2 linked regions of the Lonchura striata genome follow. The protein of the gene in region 2 interacts with the protein of the main gene of each other region in a biochemical or structural test. Links are inferred from orthologs where the notes say so. Each region holds a gene or a part of one and is shown on either strand. Other genes may lie near its edges. The genes, in order: CD58 and CD2.

The links.
Region 1: the proteins of CD2 (region 2) and CD58 form a complex in vitro, tested with the Homo sapiens proteins (3 studies listed by BioGRID and IntAct, with this or other methods). The link is inferred for Lonchura striata from reciprocal best matches to the Homo sapiens genes CD2 and CD58.

Annotation. Positions count from the first base shown.
Region 1 is NC_134604.1:27,290,747-27,300,499, forward strand, and holds the start of CD58 (lymphocyte function-associated antigen 3), read right to left. Parts: upstream 4,492-9,753; 5' UTR 4,441-4,491; coding exon 4,398-4,440; intron 1-4,397. Other genes in the region: PLA1A (phospholipase A1 member A), read left to right, coding at 9,248-9,320. UniProt on the Homo sapiens protein: Ligand of the T-lymphocyte CD2 glycoprotein.
Region 2 is NC_134604.1:14,702,581-14,711,727, reverse strand, and holds the start of CD2 (T-cell surface antigen CD2), read left to right. Parts: upstream 1-4,938; 5' UTR 4,939-5,033; coding exon 5,034-5,094; intron 5,095-7,872; coding exon 7,873-8,169; intron 8,170-9,147. UniProt on the Homo sapiens protein: CD2 interacts with lymphocyte function-associated antigen CD58 (LFA-3) and CD48/BCM1 to mediate adhesion between T-cells and other cell types. CD2 is implicated in the triggering of T-cells, the cytoplasmic domain is implicated in the signaling function.

The sequences.
Region 1 (9,753 bases), about 13 Mb from region 2:
AGTACAATCTGCTGACATGTTGTCCTTCACACACATCCCCACTCCAACTAAAGAAACAACAAAAAAACACAGAAGGACTGCAGTTTCTGGATGTGACTCACAGTGGGAACACCAGTGCTCGTGCATGGAATGGAGCAGATGTGAGCAAAACACGGAAGAACAAGAGTGAGAGCATGGAGGAGGGGCAGGCACTGATGTATCCTCTGTGATGACCAGTGACAGGACCCAAAATAACGGCCTGAAGCTGGTCAGGAGAGGCTTAGGTTGGATATTAGAAAAAGGTTCTTCACCCAGAGGGTGGTTGGGCACTGGAACAGGCCAGGGAGGGAGAGGACTGGGAATCACCACTTTTAGCACTGGTAAAATATTATGAAGGATCATTGAGTGCTGCAGATTACTGATTATTACAGTCTCTAGGCTTTTCTTAGGGACAGAACTGACTTGCATTTAAGCCTGCCTTGAACTATAAAAAAAAAAGCAGTTGTTTGAAAGTAGTCCAGAGACACTGGACCATGTTGCCCAGAGAATGGATGCCCCATCCCTGGCAGTGTTCGAGGCCAGTCTGGATGGCATTCTGAGCAATCTGGTCTAGTGGAAGATGTCCCTACCCATGGCAGAGGGTTAGAACTGGATGATCATTATGGTCTCGTCCAACTCAAATCATTCTATGATTCCAAATACTCTGGTCACTTATTCCAAATCCTCTGGTCACTTCCTATGCTGTACAAGTACATCTTCATGTAGGCTCTGTGATCAACAGCACTAAGAAAATAATCTGTCTTGCTAACTCTTTCCTTCAGTCGTGTTCATTTTCAGACAGATCATCTTTGCAGTTCTACTTATAAAGTAGAAACTGATGCCATGGACAGGAACTGTTCTCAACCTGTGGCAACACCGGCTTAAACAGACTCCAAATTACAACCTCTGTCTCTTACAAACCCTGTATCAGCCAGCCAGCCCACTGTCACACTACCCTGAACATGGCCAAAAAGCTCTCCTGAGGCTGAGAACAGATAGGAGAAACAGTAAGGAAAAAAACAAAAATAAACAAACTTACACCCATTTTTAATGAAAACCTTTAACACACCCAGGATCAAAGGAGTCTGTGGATGTAATCCAGAGATAATCTTGGCTTTCTAAAGTATAAGACCATTAATTACATCAAGGCAAGAAACTATCTGACAAAAAATTCACTCTGTTCATTCTGTAGTGTTAAATAGCAATGGCAAAAATATTGTTTCATTTTTGTTTTAATATGACATAACAACCTCAGCTCTCATCAAGAGTTTTTAAGCAGAGGGCAAAGGTTTAGTTTGACTTTTTTTTTCCCTCTGTGTGAGGAATTTATAACTGATTATAATTCCTCTGTTTATTCAGGAAGATTCAAGAGTAAGGGGACAGGACAACATAAGCACGTGACAGCTTCACAGTGCTGATAACTGATTTTTCCATTTATACTATTTAATATTGTGTTTGACATTTCTAGTAGCAACACACAAAATAACGACATTCCACAAACAACCTGAATTTGTAAGGAGTCCAGATTTTCCCACATTCATCGCAATGCCTTGTAGTGTAGTTCCTATGGCACCTCTCATGGAATGGAGAGACACAGAAGAAACATTGAGCAACCCCAGTGTTTTTCTGATCTATAAAAATGCAGAAAGGAGCATATATTTGTGTGTACAGAGGAAAAAAAAAAAAAGACAGGAAATTTAAAAATAGTAAGAAAAAAACCAGCAAGCCCAAACTTGTTGAACTGCCTAATGACATAGACACAAAAATCCACATTGAGGGAATTTGGTTTCTATGCTGGTCACTTTCAGAAGAAGTCTGAAAGAAAAATAATTTTTATCAACTCTCAGATTGTCAGTCTATGCTCAGTACTGGAGATGGCAACTTCTGCTTTTAGTGAACCAGGTTTTCTCAGTTTAGCTCAATTTTTATAAAGAAGTTAAATTGAGAAAGCAACCATTAATGCAAACATACAATGAAAATGGCATTAGGGAACATATCTAAATATGCAAGAACTAGAAGGCAAGAACTAATACTGCATAAAAAAAGAGTTGATGCACAGAACACTGAAAGAGGTGTGTGGCTTTCAGATGAGCCTTACTACAGATGCAGGATGCTGCTAGATGCTCTAGTTCACATATCCAGCTTACTTCCTATATCCCCTCTGCTTTTGGGGCAGGATCTTGATGCAGCTAAAGCAAGTTTGGTCACCATCTGCATTGCAATAGAACATCCTCACCAGTGTGGCTTGCACTGTGATCCCCCTGTTGGTGTGGTATTATTTATTCACCTCCTCCACAGGGAGGACAAAAAGATCTCTCTCTTTGTTCCTTCACCAAACTAGGCCACAGATACCACACTGACTTTCCTTCCAGCCACATACAATATCCAGGATCCTAAATCTGAACAGAGCTTTGTCTTGAACTTCTAACAACTGAACAAGCATGCTCTTGGTAGGTCTAAAATGAAAGTCCTTCGATAGCCTTGAGGTGAGGTTTTGTGCTGTAATTGACAAGTCTAAGGTTTCATCAGATAAAAAACTGATTTGGCCTGACACTGTGAAAAGCAGGAATCCTGACGTGGCAAGGAGGAACTCTGGACACCAAAGCTACACTGCAAATCCTGGCTTCCACAAGGGAATGAAGAGGGACATCTTCTCCCCTACTCCAGACATTCAGAAGTGTGACTGGGATAACTGCAGTGCTTTGAATCTGGATGGAGAAAAGATCCTGGAGGGGAAGGCTGACAAAAGGACAAGGATCTATCAACAGCATCCTGGTGTACAGAACAGGTGTTTGCATGGCTAGAAACTGACATGCCAAATTGAACTGCTACTGATTTACTTCATGCACTTGGGCAGATCAGTCTGACTTTCAGGGTCTTGATTTTCACAAAGAGAGATGATGGATTATTTTGTTAAAATTAACATGAAACATTTACACATAGTCAACATACATGTAACAGCAATAATGCAAGCATATAAACAAGAACATGGTGTGAAACCGCAGCTATACAGTTTAGTGAACAGTAAAGTGTTTGCATTCCCGATCTCCTGCCCTAATCAACCACTTTAGAATCAAAGTTTTACAGAGAAGACAACAGAACTAGCTACGTTTTTCCTTAGAGGAGGATGTTATAATACTTGTAGCCACAATTACCCTCTCCAGCTGTCCAAGCACCATCACCTCTTCCTTTCAACTGTAAGTTCTTTGGAATCTGGAATCTTTTTTCTCTAGGCCAATCTATAGCATGTGGACTGAGATGTGCAGAGTAGCAGCAGCATGCCAGCTTACATAATGCAAGGTAACAAAGTGCTCCCACTCACAAAAGAAGTTACAGGAAGATACTCAGTTAATCATGCCCTAGTCACACTCATTTAGAACTCTCAGCAAAAGGTGAGGTAAGAAATTGCAGCTAAGGCTTATCATGGGCAGACTCGTGCAGGTGCACGGTGTCCCGGCTTCTCCACCGGTCCTCCCTGCACACAGGGACCACAGTACTCTCTTACAGAACAGGATCTCTCCATATCAATTAAATAAAGCAAACTGAAGACCTCAGGAATGGTATGAGGAGGAAATTGCAGGGAGTTGCTCTGAGCAGCAGAGAAGTTCCTTTTTAAACAGGGGGATACAATAGCTCCTATTTTAGGCACATTCAGGAAACTCCCAAAGCAGAAAAAAAAAAAAAAAAACAAACCAAAAAACCGAAAGTCAGAAGAAATCCATTATACATGATAAGGTCTTCATACATTAAATCATGCTTTTTTCTCATGTTCACAGCCCAGTGCAAGGATTATGCTCCTATGGCACAGTGGTGGCATTTAGAAGGCCTTTGACTACAATTTCAACAGTAATCATTACTTGTTAATAGCTATCATTTAAGTTAATAGTAATAATTGACTTATACCCCAAAAATCGCCCACACTCCAAGCTTCCCGTTAACACAAGTTTGAAACTAACGGGGCGCAGAAGCCTGCCGCCACTAGGGAGGGGAGCTCCTGAAGGTGCAGCCGGCCGGTGCACAGGCTGACACACAGCTCCGGGGCAGCCGGCCGGTGCACAGGCTGACACACAGCTCTGGTTTTAGGCGGGGGACGGAAGCAGCGGCTCGGTTGTGCCCGCCGCCCCTGGGCAGGCAGCGAGCGGCGGGGACGCCCGTCCCGCCAGGCAGCCGCTGTCGCAGGGCTCCTCAGGGGCTGCCGGCGGCTGGGGCAGCTCCCGGCCCTCCCGAACCCCTGCCCCGGAGCAAGCGCGTCCGAACGCCCGGGGGTGCCCCGCTCCCGCTGTCCCGGGCGGCACGGAGGGAGCGAGGGAGGGAGCGAGGGAGGGAGGAAGAAAAGCGAAGGAGCCGGGAAGGGTCCCCACCGCGCTCTCCCAGCTTACCCAGGAGGGGCGAAAGGCACAGGAGCGAAGCCAGCCGCCACATGGATGCCCGCACACCGCTGCTGAGGCAGAGCGAGCGCCGGCGGCCGGCCGCGCCCCGTCCCGCCCACAGCCGGCGGCAGCTTCCGCTGGGCGGCCGCCCTGAGCGCTGCGGCTGGGAGCTGCGGGCGGTGAGGAGCGGGGGCTGCGGCTCCTGTGCCGCGTCGGATGCCATACATGGCCTTGGAGTGCCAGCGAAGGGCGTTTGTGGTTTGTGGGCGCGACTTCTGGCGACGGAAGTTGTCGCGTTGCTCTTACCTCGGGGAGGTTCAGCTAACTAAAAACCTGAAAGTGAATCGGTTTATGGGGAGTGGGAGCCACGCAGATTAGGTGAAGAATGAATTTCAGCAGGTGGCACGCAGCTCACCACCTCCGAAAATGATCACGGAATAGTTTGGGTCAGCTGCAACCCCTCTGCCATGGGCAGGGACAGCCCCAGCCCCTTTTACTCCCTGGAGCCTCCTGGTGTTTGACATTTGTGCTCACAAAAATGTCCACTGTTCTCTTCGAGGGACACCTGGAAATATCTCCTTTTGAGGAGTGGGCTCAAGGCTAAGACTGGCTATGCTCTCCTGTTCCACCCAAGGTGAGGTTGATCTCTGGGGAAGGGGAGTGAAGGAAAAGAAATAGAACAGAAACCAACTCTGACTTCAAGAGGTTTTCTTTGACACCAGCTGCTGAGCAGCCCATTCACAAAACTCAAACACACTTAGATTCTCTTTCATGAATGACCGATCTCTTGACACTGCTGAGTGTTTTTGAGGAAGAAAGGGAAAACCACAACAGTCGGGAAAATGTAAGTATATAGCAGCTATTGAAAAATTGCTACTCTGACAAATATTCCAGTGGCAGCTGTGAGTGAGCGTTCCTCTCATGGCAGTGAGTTGCTCTGAGTGGATGTTTCAAACCTTCTTTGCCTGCATCCCACTCCCCAGTGCATTGCCCCAGCTGAGAAGAGTCCAGCTGCAGACCTTAGAGCCCCAAAGCATGCTCAGCTCCCAGCAGCTTGTCTGTCTGTCCTGGAGAACACCAGCACAGTGCTGTGAGGGAGGTTCTCACCACAGGTTTATCTCTCAGTCAGATTTCTCCCAGTACACTTGGCTCCCACACTCACTGACGAGCAGCCATGTCGGGCTATTTACCATCCTTTGAGAGACTTCAGCTTTGCACTTCACACAACACAATCAGAAAAATAATTGGCAGCCATGGATATCTCTAAACAGAGGTCCTAGCAGAGTAAATACTGAGGGATTCTTTTCCCCTCCTTCTAGAAGCTACTCTAAGCTCCTTTGACTCATCACTGAAGGCTGCACCATGAGCTGGAATGACACTGCATCTTGAGCCGAGTAATGCTGTCTCATTCAGTTCTTACTAAAACAGAATAATACTGATTCTATCTCCATAGCTCTGTTGTAATGCCATGACATGTAACTCACAAACAGAGACAGGCACATCCCATAAATTCCTTCTGCTCAGTGACAGCTTGGAGCCTTTCTGTCCCTCGGTAACCTTTGTCCCCTGTGTTCTTAATCTCCGACAAGTGTCAAAGGGAGATCCCTACCCTGTAAAGCCTCCAAGTCACAGTGTTTACACCAGAAATATAACATGGCCATCTTCCTGCAGCACTCTCATGGCAGGAGCACATGTTCTCGTCCTCTTGTCAGGTAAAGTGTCCTCTCAAGATGCCAGAGGCTTTGGATTGAATCTTGTTGCACACTGCAGCTTTCCTGTAGGGCACAAAATCTTTGAGGTTGGGAGAGAGAAATCGGAAGCAGACAGTTTCACTTTGAAACAGGTTATTTTAGGATGGAAGGAACACAGGTCGTCATCCACATGCACTTAAGGCAGGCCTGCGTTCTTCCTACTGAGCTGCTCCACATTGTACAAGATGATTTATGGCTTTATAGAGCAGAGAAACAGAGAGAAACTTGAACTGGAGACTGGTGCCCTCAACTAGGCTCTTCTACTTGGTAGTACATGGTAAGGATATATCTTCCTTATGCATACTTATACAGGCATACCAGGTGGAAGATCCAGGAAGTACTCAAAAAAGGCTCAGATGGCTGTTTTTCCTCCTTTCCTGACAGAGTACCCAAGCAGACTTGCCCCTGTTTTCCCTTCCTCAGTTGCCAAGAAAATCTTTGACGTTTACTTCCTGCTCTGTCATTGCTAAGACACACCTCTGAAAGCAGGAAGGTCAAATTGCTTTTTTGTTGAGATGAGAACTAATCCTGGTTCCTCTGTCAGTCTTGGAAACAATACACAGGCGTCTGCATGCTTAACACAGAACCATGGTTTCTACTTCACAGGCAAATGATAGAAAATACAGGAGCTCTGAGACCAAGTATTTCAGCAGTAAGGAGGATCCAGAACTTAATGAACAGTGAGATAAGCTCTGGGTGTATTTCATGCCCTTCTTTGAATGCAAACCTCTCCACAGGGAGAGGTTTTAAATAGTCATCATTTGCTTAGCTCACACATGGTTTCCCCCAAGGTCTGGTGCTGCTACCCCAAATGCATTTTTTCTAGTATCAAAAATTAGTTTTTCAGGCCAAGTGAATTTTCCTGTGATCAGATTTCCACTTGACCATTGGCTATTTGCAGTGCTTATATGCCTCTGCCAGCTGTTGCTTTGTGAGAGGAGACTCGACACTTTCAGCTGAGTTGGACACTTTTCAGCATTGGCTTGAATGTGCAGTCAGCACATTTTTAAAATTTTCTTTTTAATTAAAAGAATTTGTGCACTAAATCAAGGTTTTTTGCTTTCACTATCCCTGACATTCTCAAGAAAATCACACTGTGCTTCATGACTTCTCTGTAAGGGACTGTTAAAAGAAAGTGGTTTGGAAGTCTTTGCAACAGTGCTCCCATTGTCATTATAATCACTCCCTTTGGGAAGCAAAATAAGTGGCATTAAGTTTCTGAATTAATATAACTGTAATTACTCTGCAATTAAGTTCACAAGCAATAAGAAGAAAACCCTTTATATCAAAATAGCTTTACTTAGTAAAAGCATTTTAAGCACAGAGTAACTTGAGTGGCTTTTGCTGTTTGCATAAGGAATTGCCATGGTGTGCTGCTATAATAAGAAAAATCCAGGAATTCATTAAACTGAGAATTCAGATTTAGTAGACAACTTAAAAGACATTTATTTTTTAAAAAACACCAGTTTTGTGCATTTGCAATATTGTTAAACACCAGGATGTTGTTTAACAACTCTGCAAATGCACAAAATAAAACCAAATCTGCAAATCTTGGCTAAAGTTTTGTTTAACTATAAGGCTGTAATAATGGTGCCTCTTTATATTACATGGCATTTCAAAATTTCCATAGGACTTGGCAAAGAAGGAATGGGCCTGTTGGAGTGCACAGGCTTTATCTTACAATCTAAGAATTGTAAGATAAAACAAGATGAATCTGGTGCTGGGGATGGAAAGATGAAGCATGGGCTGGAAGCCAGGAGATGGCTATTGGCATTGCAGTTTTCAGTCTTGGAAAACTGACTGGGCTGACAAACTCGGGCATATATTTGTGAGACACTGAGGACCTGCTTCTCTGACAATAAGCCAGCTTGATCCTGGAGGCAAGTACTTCAGGGTCAGAAGGTATCTCAGTATGTATATCTGAGAGGATGCAGTTGGGGTGGGGTTCAATAGTCCTCCAGGCCAGGCAGCTAAGGCTGCCTTTCAGTGAAAACCAGAGAAATTTATCTCTGAAGATTTGGAAATAAAATGAACTTCTGCTTAAAACAGCACCAAAGCCTTCAGCTGAAACAAACTTGGGGTAAGGAAATTACTGCTATCACCAATAGTTCTAAAGAAAAGTAGTGTCTGATGCTTTTTGAAATATCTTTGGTCATCTTCCTGATCAGACTGAAGAAATTTCTTAATTTGGTTGTTCAACTAAGCCACTGTAGATTAGTACCCGGACAGGGAACTTTACTTTGCTCATTACCCTTCCTGCCATTTAGCACAGCCAAGGGCAAAGCTGCCTTGTCCAGCACGATGGACCAACACAGAGGATACAGGTGTGTCCTTACCTGAAAGTCCATCTCAGCCAGGAATATGGTACCTCATCATCGGTGTCATGTTGCACATCTGGGTGTGCATTTATGCTTCTCCATCTGGATACATTAAAGTGGTAAAGTTTTTTATTCAAAGGCCTTTGTTAAGTATTTGCATGCTTATGATGCTGGTGCATTACTGAAGGGTGCCCCCACCCTAAGAAATGTAGTCTGGGCATGTTATGGTGATATGACCACCAGTTGCATTTTAGCCTGCCTTTCCCCTGGCTTTTCAGATGTAATCCACTGTTTCGCCTTTTTTAGACTGTTACAGGTATCTGACCAAAAGCAGAAATACAGGAAAGACAGCAATGCAGTAGGAAAATACGATGCAAGGCTGATATGAATCTTCCTGGCATGGACTTACTGTGAAGCCTTGTGATAAACCAGCATCCCTAGTCAGAGTTTGGCAGAAAGGTCTAGGTAGCAAGGATAAAGCACTGTAACTCTATCACTTGCTGGAACTGGTTTCACTGCCTGATTTCTGAAGTGAGAAGTTTCCCTTGAGGAAAGGGAGGTAGAGAGGAAAGGAAGGTCAACATCTCCTTTAACCAAAAAGTCATTGAAGCCTCTGCTTCAGATTTTGACTAATGGTAAAATAAGAGGAGAGGTAATTGCTTAAAATCCGAATTAGGTCATTTTCCCAAAAGTGCACAGACTGATTGATCATTACAGAGTCAAGCTGATCATTAACCACAGCTGGTTTTCCTCTGTACAATCCTTATTCTTGTATTGGGCAAACAGGAAGATGGTTGAAGATCCGAAGAGAAAACTGCTCATGGTTCTTGCTCTCCTCTTGCTGCCCAGCTCAGCACAAACAGGTAAGAAAAACATGACTGCCTGGCAAGGGATTGAAGGTTTTACAGAGAAGGATCTGAATTCAGTTCTCCCTAAACAAGCTGTATGTCAATAGGTCCTGGCAATAACCTTTTTATGTTCTGGGGAGAAAAAGTGGTGCAAGAATTGTCCTTTCTTCTCTTATGCTTCGATTCAATCACCCTCAGTGATTTAATTCCATTAACCTGATTTCCAAGAATGATCCAGGTTTACCTGAAGAGTAAGGATGCAGAAAAGGGACCACTTGGCCTCTGGCAGTGGCATCTTTGCCACATTGCTTCAAAAGGTCAGCAAGTGTGATCTGCAGTAGCTGAGAGAAAAATAAACAAATGCCACACTTCCATTTCTTTCTTGAATTGTACTGTCAATGAGACTGCCTTAGAGATCACATCTACAGTCCCACATCACCTGCAGCTT
Region 2 (9,147 bases):
GTATACAAGCATTTATTAAGTTGATGGTTTCTGGGGAGTGTCAGATCTTGTCCAAAATATTACTTAGGTGGTAGCAACAACTTATCTTTCCTGGATATATTTTTAGGAGCAGCTGTTCTTCTATTATCCTTCTTGGGTAGCTAGTCCATCCACTCTCTCATGATGAAGGGGCACATTGTAGTTAATACAGGTCTTTGTGTATTTACCACTGCCAAGACTAGAAGAGGCTTTTATGGCCATTTATCCTGCTTCTGGTATAAGACAGATTGATTGCAGCATGCCAGCAAGCCAACACCTTTTGCAGCTTTAGTAATGTCACTGAATTTACTAGAACAAGATGCTGAAAGTTAGGTCCTAAATCTAAGGCCATTATAGATGATGGAAATCATCGGCAAGACTGAAATGCACCATCTGCAAGAATAACTGATGGGATGCTGCCATCTGCCCTAGCCTCAGTCATTGCTGTGATCCACAGACTGCTTGGTCTAAGGGGGTTATGTTCCTTCAGACCAGAAATAAAGGGTATTTTTTGTGAGGTTTGGCTGTTGACACATGCTTACAGCTGAAAAATAAGAAAATGTGGCTGAGAGAGAACACCTGGGGCTAAAGGTTTAACAGCATGAAGCTGTGTTGGGGTGGGGGGTTTAGGTTAGATATCAGGAAAAGGCCCTTCTCCTAGGGGCTTTTGGGGCTCTGGGATGGGCTCAGCAGGGAAGTGGTCACAACTCCAAGTCTGTCTGAGCTGAAGAATTGTTTGGACAATGCTTTTAGGCTCAGGGTGTGATTCTTGGGGCTGTCCTATTCAGGGACAGAAACTTGGTAATCTTTGTGGATCCCTTCCACCTCAGAATATTCTATGTGGCATTATGGACATTGCAGGGGAATCATGTCTCTTCAAATAATCAGGTGAGGACAATTCTGCATGATCATAGTTTGAAAATGTTAATTTACTTTTCTTGAGAGAAGGATGAAAAAATTTGTGCAGACAACTTTTTCAGTATCAGTATTTTCTGTGTGTGTGTCACTATTTCTGGAAGATTTTCATCGTGTCAGGCAACTAGGAGCTCTCAGCTCTGAGACACTGAGTCAGCATCCCTGCCAAATCCTTGGCTAAAGCTCTATTTTGAGTTATTGATCTTCATATTTCCATCACTTGATTCAAGCTGGAGTTTTTCTTTCTTGGCCCTGTGCAAGGCAGAAGGGAAGAGGAGGCAGGATGTGTCCTTCATCAGCCAAGTGGCTGAAACTCTACATGGGAGCCAGCAGTTCCCTGGCATTTCAGAGTGCAGGGCAATACCCCTTGCTAGGGCTCACTTTGCTTCTTCCTTGCTCCAGCCACTGCCCAAAATTCCTTCTGCATTGTAAAAAGCTACAGTAAAGGGGCATGTAAAGGAAGCCCTTAGCTGCCATCCAGGGCAACCCAGATGGAGCCCAGTCATGCAGGCCAGAATGCAAGATCAGGAGAGCTCCCAAGAATAAAGTTACCCTTCCCCAAAGCTTCCCCTCCACATATTACCTATCTGACACTCCAATTAAAATCACATTTACTCTTCTCCTCACACATTGTGCCTCATCAAAGGCCTGGTGAGAGATTTAGAGGTGTGAAAGTCCGGTGAGGCTCAGTGCAGGGTGTCTGACTCACATGCAAGTACCACTTACTATAACCAAAGTTTCATACAAGAGAAGATGGTACAAACTATCAGATGGGCTACAAATCTACTTTTTGTAGTCTTCATTTTCTAGTAGATCAAATAATTATATTTTTTATATTTTTTTTTTTTAATAAGCCTCGGGCATACATGTTTATTGGCTCATCACTAAGCCGAGAACTTGGAGCTGGGAACAGCTGCATATTATCTCTTGAGGTGTTGCCTTCAGATGTGGGGGGACTCTGTCACCTCCACAAGGAAATGTGAGTATGATACTTACATTCCCCGTGAGGAAACTGTATGCTGTCTTACAAAGAGCAGAAGTGTAAAGGAAAGAGCAAGCCACAAAAGCAAATGTATGAGTGCAGCGCGCTGTGGCTTCTGCAGTGGAAACAATGCTGCAGAGAGAGAGAGAGTGAGGATGTGCAAAGACACAGCCCATTGTTGTGGCTGTGCTCGGTCCTCTGCTCTCCTGTGTGTCAGAAGATGGGGATGTGTAGCAATGCAATGGGCTGAACAGGGCTCCAGCATCCTCAGCTTGATGCTAAGGACAGGCCTAACTGAACCAGGCCTAGCAGCACTGTGCTGGTACACATCTGCTTTTCTATCACTGCCCGGGTTTTCTAGCTGACTTTGTTTAATCCAGTGGTGTTACTTCCTGTGTGAATAGAGAGGGTGTCTGCAGCGAGGAGAAGCATGTGAGAGCACTGCTATCTACAGCTCACCTTGTCCTGCCCAGCACAGCTTGGGCCAGTGTCTGGCTGTGGCCACACAGAGCTCCAGCCACAGCTCTCTCTGTGCCACTCCCTCCACCTGGGAGGGCATTTATGGCTGGTGCAGGGGCTGCTCTGGCAGTGCTCTCTGCTGTAGCTGTTCTCAGGATGTTTATGCCATGCCACATCTCTGAAGGTACATGCTGGCTTCTAGATTTCCTCTGTGCCTGCAGCCCAGAGCTGCTGTTCTTTCCAGAGACACCTTCAGGCACTTTCTCCTCAGTGCCCTCTCTGGGGCTCTCCTTGAAGGGAAAACAGAGACATCAGTGCAACAACTTAGAGTGCTTTCTTCCAAGTAACATCCAAAAAAATCCTTCTTCTAAAATGGGGATCAAAGCCCAGTCAGGACTGCAGCAAGATGTTGCTTTGCTTTTCAAGAGGGAAGGCTAAAGCTGGCAGAATATTGACATTTCCCCACTTGTCATCGGGCAGGAAGACTGAGCTTAGAGACATGGGCTGCTTTGTCTTTCTCCAGCTAGGTCTGATGGTGCAAGAGGTTTCAGAGGCTGCTTAAAAAAGGGGCTGCTTTTGGGACAAGCCATTCCAGGATCTCATGGGGAATTCTTGCTGCAGGTAAGTGATGCAGGTTTGGCTGTGCTTGTGGCTTTTGTTACTCAAAATCTTGCAAGTGGATTTTGTGCATGTGCACCAAGTACTCAGGAATACCAAGGCCTGGTGTCACTTCTGTGGTGTCCAGTTACCATAGGACATCAGTCATTGAGCCCTCAGCTTTCCTCTCAAGTGCTTCTTCACTGCTCACAGTAAGGTCATTTTTGAACAGACAGTTTATATCCTTTATGAATGGGTTCTTGCTCCTGCCTACCTGTTGCTCCAACAGCAACCAGGATGTTTGGTGAGCTGGTTTGCTGGACTATAGGGGCCTTTGGTGTGACCCATTTCAGCTGTGAGTTTAGGAGATTGTGTGTGGCATGTGGGCAATGCCAAACTGATTAACTGGAGGCAGTGGTCTTCACTTTTACACCTGGCTCTACCACTAAGAAGCTTTGCCTGTCTTCTCTCTCTCACATTCACACAAGCACACATCTTTCCATTTGTATTTCATTTTTTCCATGACAATTCCCACCCCAGGGTGCTGGCAGTGTGAACATGCCAACAAACAGACAATGTGCAGGGGTACCCTGGAAGAAGGAGGTGGCTTTGAGAGATGTTTCCCTGAAAAAGAATGGAGACAAAGTTGAGCAGAGCATGGACAGTGTTTTCACCATGCTGGGCCTCCCTCTGCTCTGCTTGATGGATCCAGCAAAAAAGCCTCCAAAAAACTGAGGAGAAATCAGGGTTGATGCCTTTGCCCCAATTTTTTTGGGTGCTGGGGCTGGAAGCAGATGTGTCCAAGAGTTTAACACAGCTTGCTTGGCTGAGGAGATACCCAAATGTGGCAGTCCTTGCTCTCAGCTTGTTTCTTGCCACAGAGGGTGGAGGTCGGGCACAGAAATGTGATCTTGCTGCTGTTGCTTCCTCTCTCCTTTTGTGTATGCCTCCTTTGTGTGTTCTTTGGAAGGAAACAGTAGCAGAAAAAAGGAAGAAAAACTAGGTTTTCCTGCAGGGAGTGTTTTTTTTTTTTTTTTAACCTCATTAATACCAGTAAAAAATTATTAAGCTGGAGAAGGGGAGATGTCTTACAAGATCTTCCTTTAACCTCAAGGAAAAGGAATGACATGAACGAACAAGATTTATCTACTATTGTACAGTTCTAGTGCCACAGATTTTCTTTTGTCTTCTTTCTTGGCCTACATCCATGACAAAAAGCTGGAAGATTTCAGTGGCTGCTGAAGCAGAGGAATTATGCTGATGAGGGTAAGACTCAAAATCCTCACCACTCCATCTGTTTTGTATTGGAATCGGGAATAAGGACTTTATTAGATTCTCACATGATTTTGGACCTAGCTCCTCACAGCTTCTTTCCTTGCTGTCTTTCCCACATCAGCCAGCTTCGGAGCTGGTTTGTGGCTCGATCAAGGCAGCATTCTCACCCCCTTCCATGCTCATCCCTCTCACAGCTTGCTGGAGTGGCTGGCCCTGCCTGCAGGAAGCCTTTGTGCCTCTGGCCAGCCCTTCATACACCAGATGTTGATGCCAAGCTGATCCTGATGGTTTCCAAGGGAAGTGTGTCTCCTTTTCAAGTGTTGTCCAACAGCCACCTGCTCCTCTCTGGGGCTCCTGGGCTTGCTCTCCCCTTGCTGCTGCTGAGGCTGTGGGGGAGAATTAGGATTCCTATCACTCCCCCACCCAAAAACTGCATCCCTCCCACTAGGATGGTGGCATGTGGGTGCTGGAACTGAGCTCTTCAGGTGAGCATTGAGGAGGACAAGGGCCCTATCTCTCCCTCCAGCTGGGTGGACAAACCTCCAGGGCATTTCCTGCATTTTAGTGCCCATTTTCTTTGTGTCTCCATGTTGCCTCCATGCAGACAAAACACTCTGTTGGGGCTTATTTCCGCCTCTGCTAGAAATGAGAAGTGCTGGAGGAGAGGAGGAGGGCACAAAGGCTGTGCCGACATGTCCCATCACTGCTTGCTCACAGCAGAAAACCTTCTCACCTGCCAGGAGCTATCACTAGACAAGGCAACACTGGATGTTTTTTGACCCTGAAAATGAACTTTAGGAGGATTTTCCTAGTCAAGTGCTTGCTGCTTTTATTTCCCACTGTAAAATGTGAGTTTTTCTTACAGTTTTTTTTTTTTTCTCTTTTGGACTGATGTTAAAATTGTATTTTAAAGCATTTACAACTTGGTGGGCTGCTACTGATAAGAAACTTGTTCCACTTTTCCAATGAGTGAAGACATCTGGGTTATTGCTATTATTATTTGATTTAATTTTCAGCCAGGGGGAGGGCAGGACCTGAGTTTCCTATTCCAGTTATAATAATAAGCTGTAAAGAGTTTTGGTTTTAAGTTAATGAGCCTTAATTTGACACATGTGTAATGAGAAATGTCAGCATACAGTTTGCTTTCTGCCCTTGAGGCAGCTTGTACTACATTAGAGATCCAGTTCACTGTGCATTATCGCATATAATTTCCTTTTCTTATCAAAGATGTGCAAATCTTTTGAAAGTACAATTTATATTCTTCCATAAATATTAAAAGAGTGATATATTTCAGTGTCCTCAGTGGAGCTGGAGTTTAAGATGTGAAAACAGCAAGCAACTACATATATTTTTTATATTTTGCATATTATTGTTCTCATTATTTTTTAAAATATTAATCTAAAAACTTAATTAAGGTGTTAACTCATAGATTAGAGAAGGTTTTAAGAGATGGAGACAATACAAGCCTGCATAATTTTTTTCCCCTCGGTTTCATTCCACTAAGTTTGCATGTATGACTGTTTAATGCTATGCTTTTCCTTCAGAACAAAATTAATAGATAAATAAGGATTTCTTCTTTTTACGTACACAATCTATAAAACATCTTCTCTAGCAGAAATAAGGATTATTTCCTTGAATGGAAAATTGTTTCAGAGACTTCCTTCTCTAAAATTACTATGGGAGCTTTTTCTTTTAACTCTTTCTTGTGACTGTGAGTGAGCTGTAGTCTCTCAGTTAAAGCCTTTCTGCCCCTTGGAGCACATTTTAGTTGGCATTTTTATCAGATGTGTTGTTTCATTAGCGAAACAGATTTTTAGTATCATACGTGTGGGATACTCAGCTTTCCACTAGAAAGACTGTGGAGATCAGATCAATATCTAGAGATGCCTCTGGTCCACAGAGATGCCATTGAATTATCCTTGAAAACTCAGATTACTTTCTTTCTTTACTTCCAGAGAGAAAATCTAAGTAGTGTCTGTTATGCAAAGAAATCCTATTACTATCTCTAAATACTTGTTCATGACTGAGCAGAAGCAAGTATCAGAATTCAAATATCTGGGTATAACATGTAGTGTCATCTGTGTGGGGCATAGCTGCTTCTAAGGCTGTTTAGCTGATAGCTTTATTTCAGGACATTTCATTAGATATATCGAATACCTTGCAAGAAAGGCAATGCTGAAAGAACAACCTCTCTTTAGAGGTGGTGAATTGCCAGAAGCACTACAGCATTAATGTTCTTGTTCAGAGGCATGCTATTTTAGTTCTCTGATTATCTTTAATATTGTTAGTTTAATGAAATAGCCACTGGGTTTCAGTTTCCCCTCTGTGGTGCCATTTATCATTATCCTAGATACAAGGAGTGAAGGACTGTAATAAAAATATGCATAAACACAGGTTTATTCTCTCTGTGGGGAAAAAAGTACTTAAAATACATAAAATTAGGGCAGAATCAGCTCTGTTGATGGGAAGGGAAATCTCCTCCTGCTGATTGGCTTCACCCTGTAAATTGAGGAGGAATGAACACGATAAAATGACAAACTAAATAAGCTGTGGCTCTGGGTGAGCTTATCCCACTTGACAATTGCACACAGATTTCGCCCTCCTCCTGCAGGTTTGTCCACCTGCCACGGGGCTGGGGACAGTTCCTTACTTGAAATGACCTCCCAGCAAAGTTTCCCAAGTCCTGGCTCACCAGAAATGGGGCCTGCAGAGACGGTGGCTGAAGCAGCCTGGAGCAGGCAGAGCACCCGGGCACTGCTCCAGGAGTTCATCCTCCCACTACTGGAAATACAGAGGATGTTTAGTGAATATCCCCTTTGGCAGCCCCATGCTCAGGTGCTTCTCAGTCCTGACACTCCCTTTGGGAAGCTCCTATTCTTCTCTGTTCTGGAGAAGGGACCTGGAATCAAAGGAAGAGAAGATTTTTGAGGTTTGTTTTGGCAGTAGCTTTTCTTGTAATGACTCCTGCAGCCCTTCAGTTGACAGGATGCTGGTGGCTGTGTCTTCCTGCCTTACCTGCCCCATCAGGATCCCATGCTAGAAAAATCAAGTGGATACATTCCAGTGGGGCAGAGTAACTGGGATAGGAGGCAGGGGGGGCATTGCTGTGGGTGTGCCTCCAGTTCAACGCCTTACACTCACAGCTTGAAATGGGCTACCACTATTATCATCATTGCTGTCACTGGGGTGGCTGAAATGATTCTGCTGTTCAGGGCTGTGACTATTTTTGCTGTCTGCAGTAATGCTTGCAGTGATGGGCTCTCTGGGTGCCAGCCTGTGCCATGTGCAAAACACAGAAGGGACCTTCTTTTCAGGAAGGGCTAAGTTCATGTTAAACTGAATGGGAGGCCATGAATCTTGGCATCCAGAGTCACTCCAAGTAAGTCAGCCAAGGTATAAATTCAGCTTTTGAAAGCTGGGCTCTTAGCTTTCTTGCCTCTCAGAATTAAATTGGATGCTGGCATTTATCTAAAGAACAATCAAGAAATATTTTGGAGTAGGGGAAGAAGATGGCATCAGTGAAGCAGAGGGGCTTAGGCAGCTCAGGAAAGGGTGGCATAGCAAATGACAGCCTTTTGGGTGGCTGCTGGAGACAACTGAGGGGCTGGCTGTGCTTCCCTCGACAGGCATCAGCACCAGCTGGATTTACAAGGCAGTGAATGAGACAGCTCTTCTCAGCATCACTGCTCCTGGGAACATCTATGAGGCAACATGGACTAGAGGGGGACAAAGGCTGGTTCAGATCAAAGATAACAAAACTAAGCACTTTGTGAACAAGGAGCAGTGCAGGTGTGCCATACTCCGGAATGGGACTCTGCAAATCCAGCGCGTGGAGAAAGCGGACAGTGGAAACTACACGGTGATGGTTTATCAGAAGGATGGAAAACTGAAGGCGGAAGAAAATGTCATATTCTTTGTTCAGGGTGAGTTTTTGCTTTTCCAATACCATGCCCATGACTGCTGAACAGGACTTGCTATTGTCTGCTCTCTCCCACAGCCCTCCTTTCTGATGAGGAAGGGGTGACTTCTGTAGGACATACCTTTTTCTTCCTGCCTCTGACAGCAGCCTGCCTCTCTTCTCCCTTCTCTTGCTCTGATTGATGGCCTCAAATCCCTGGCTTCTTTATGGCTCCCCTGTTTGTCAGCCAACAGGTTTCCAGCTGTGCCCAAGAAAGCAGCTGGGAACAGGTTCACACTGACAGCAGGGTGGGGGTGGTCAGTCCTACTGCAGCACCACAAACAGTGCTAAGACCCTAAGCTGGGGTGGGACCCTGAGAGGGGACTGGGCCCCCAGCAGCATCCTGCTTCCAGAAACCTCTGTTAGGACCACAGCAGCCTATGGGGTACAGTTGTGGCTGATGCACTGTGGGTTTCAGGTATTTCTGGTGTCATTTTATGGGTACTGAGTTATGACTTTTGTTCTCTGGCTGCTGGTCCAGCAAGCTGAGCAACTTGTGTTGCCAGCCCCTTGAGGAGAGCTCAGGAGTCCAGATGGCACTAAATGCCTTCATTCAGGCAATGGAAACCCACTCCATTTTTGCTCTAACATACAAAATATCCAGCAGTCACCTCCCCTGAGATAAACCACAATAGGAGCTGAATTTGCAGTGGAAGAAGACTCCTGCACCCTCTCCTTGCATAGCACAACACAACAAATATGAAGACTGTGCTCTTTGAAGCACAGTTAAGCACACACCTGGGGATTTCAGCTGCTTGGGCTCAAAGTATGAGGGCAGTCTCCATTCCTGTGCTGTATCTTGCCCTAAAAGATCAGAGCAGTAGCAGCCCAAAGGTTTTGGGGTGAGTAGGGATGATGGAGCTGGCTATTCTGCTCCTTAATAACTGCTATGGCATCTCCAGGCCTCTAAGCTGTAGGACAGCTTGGTTTTTTTCCCACAATA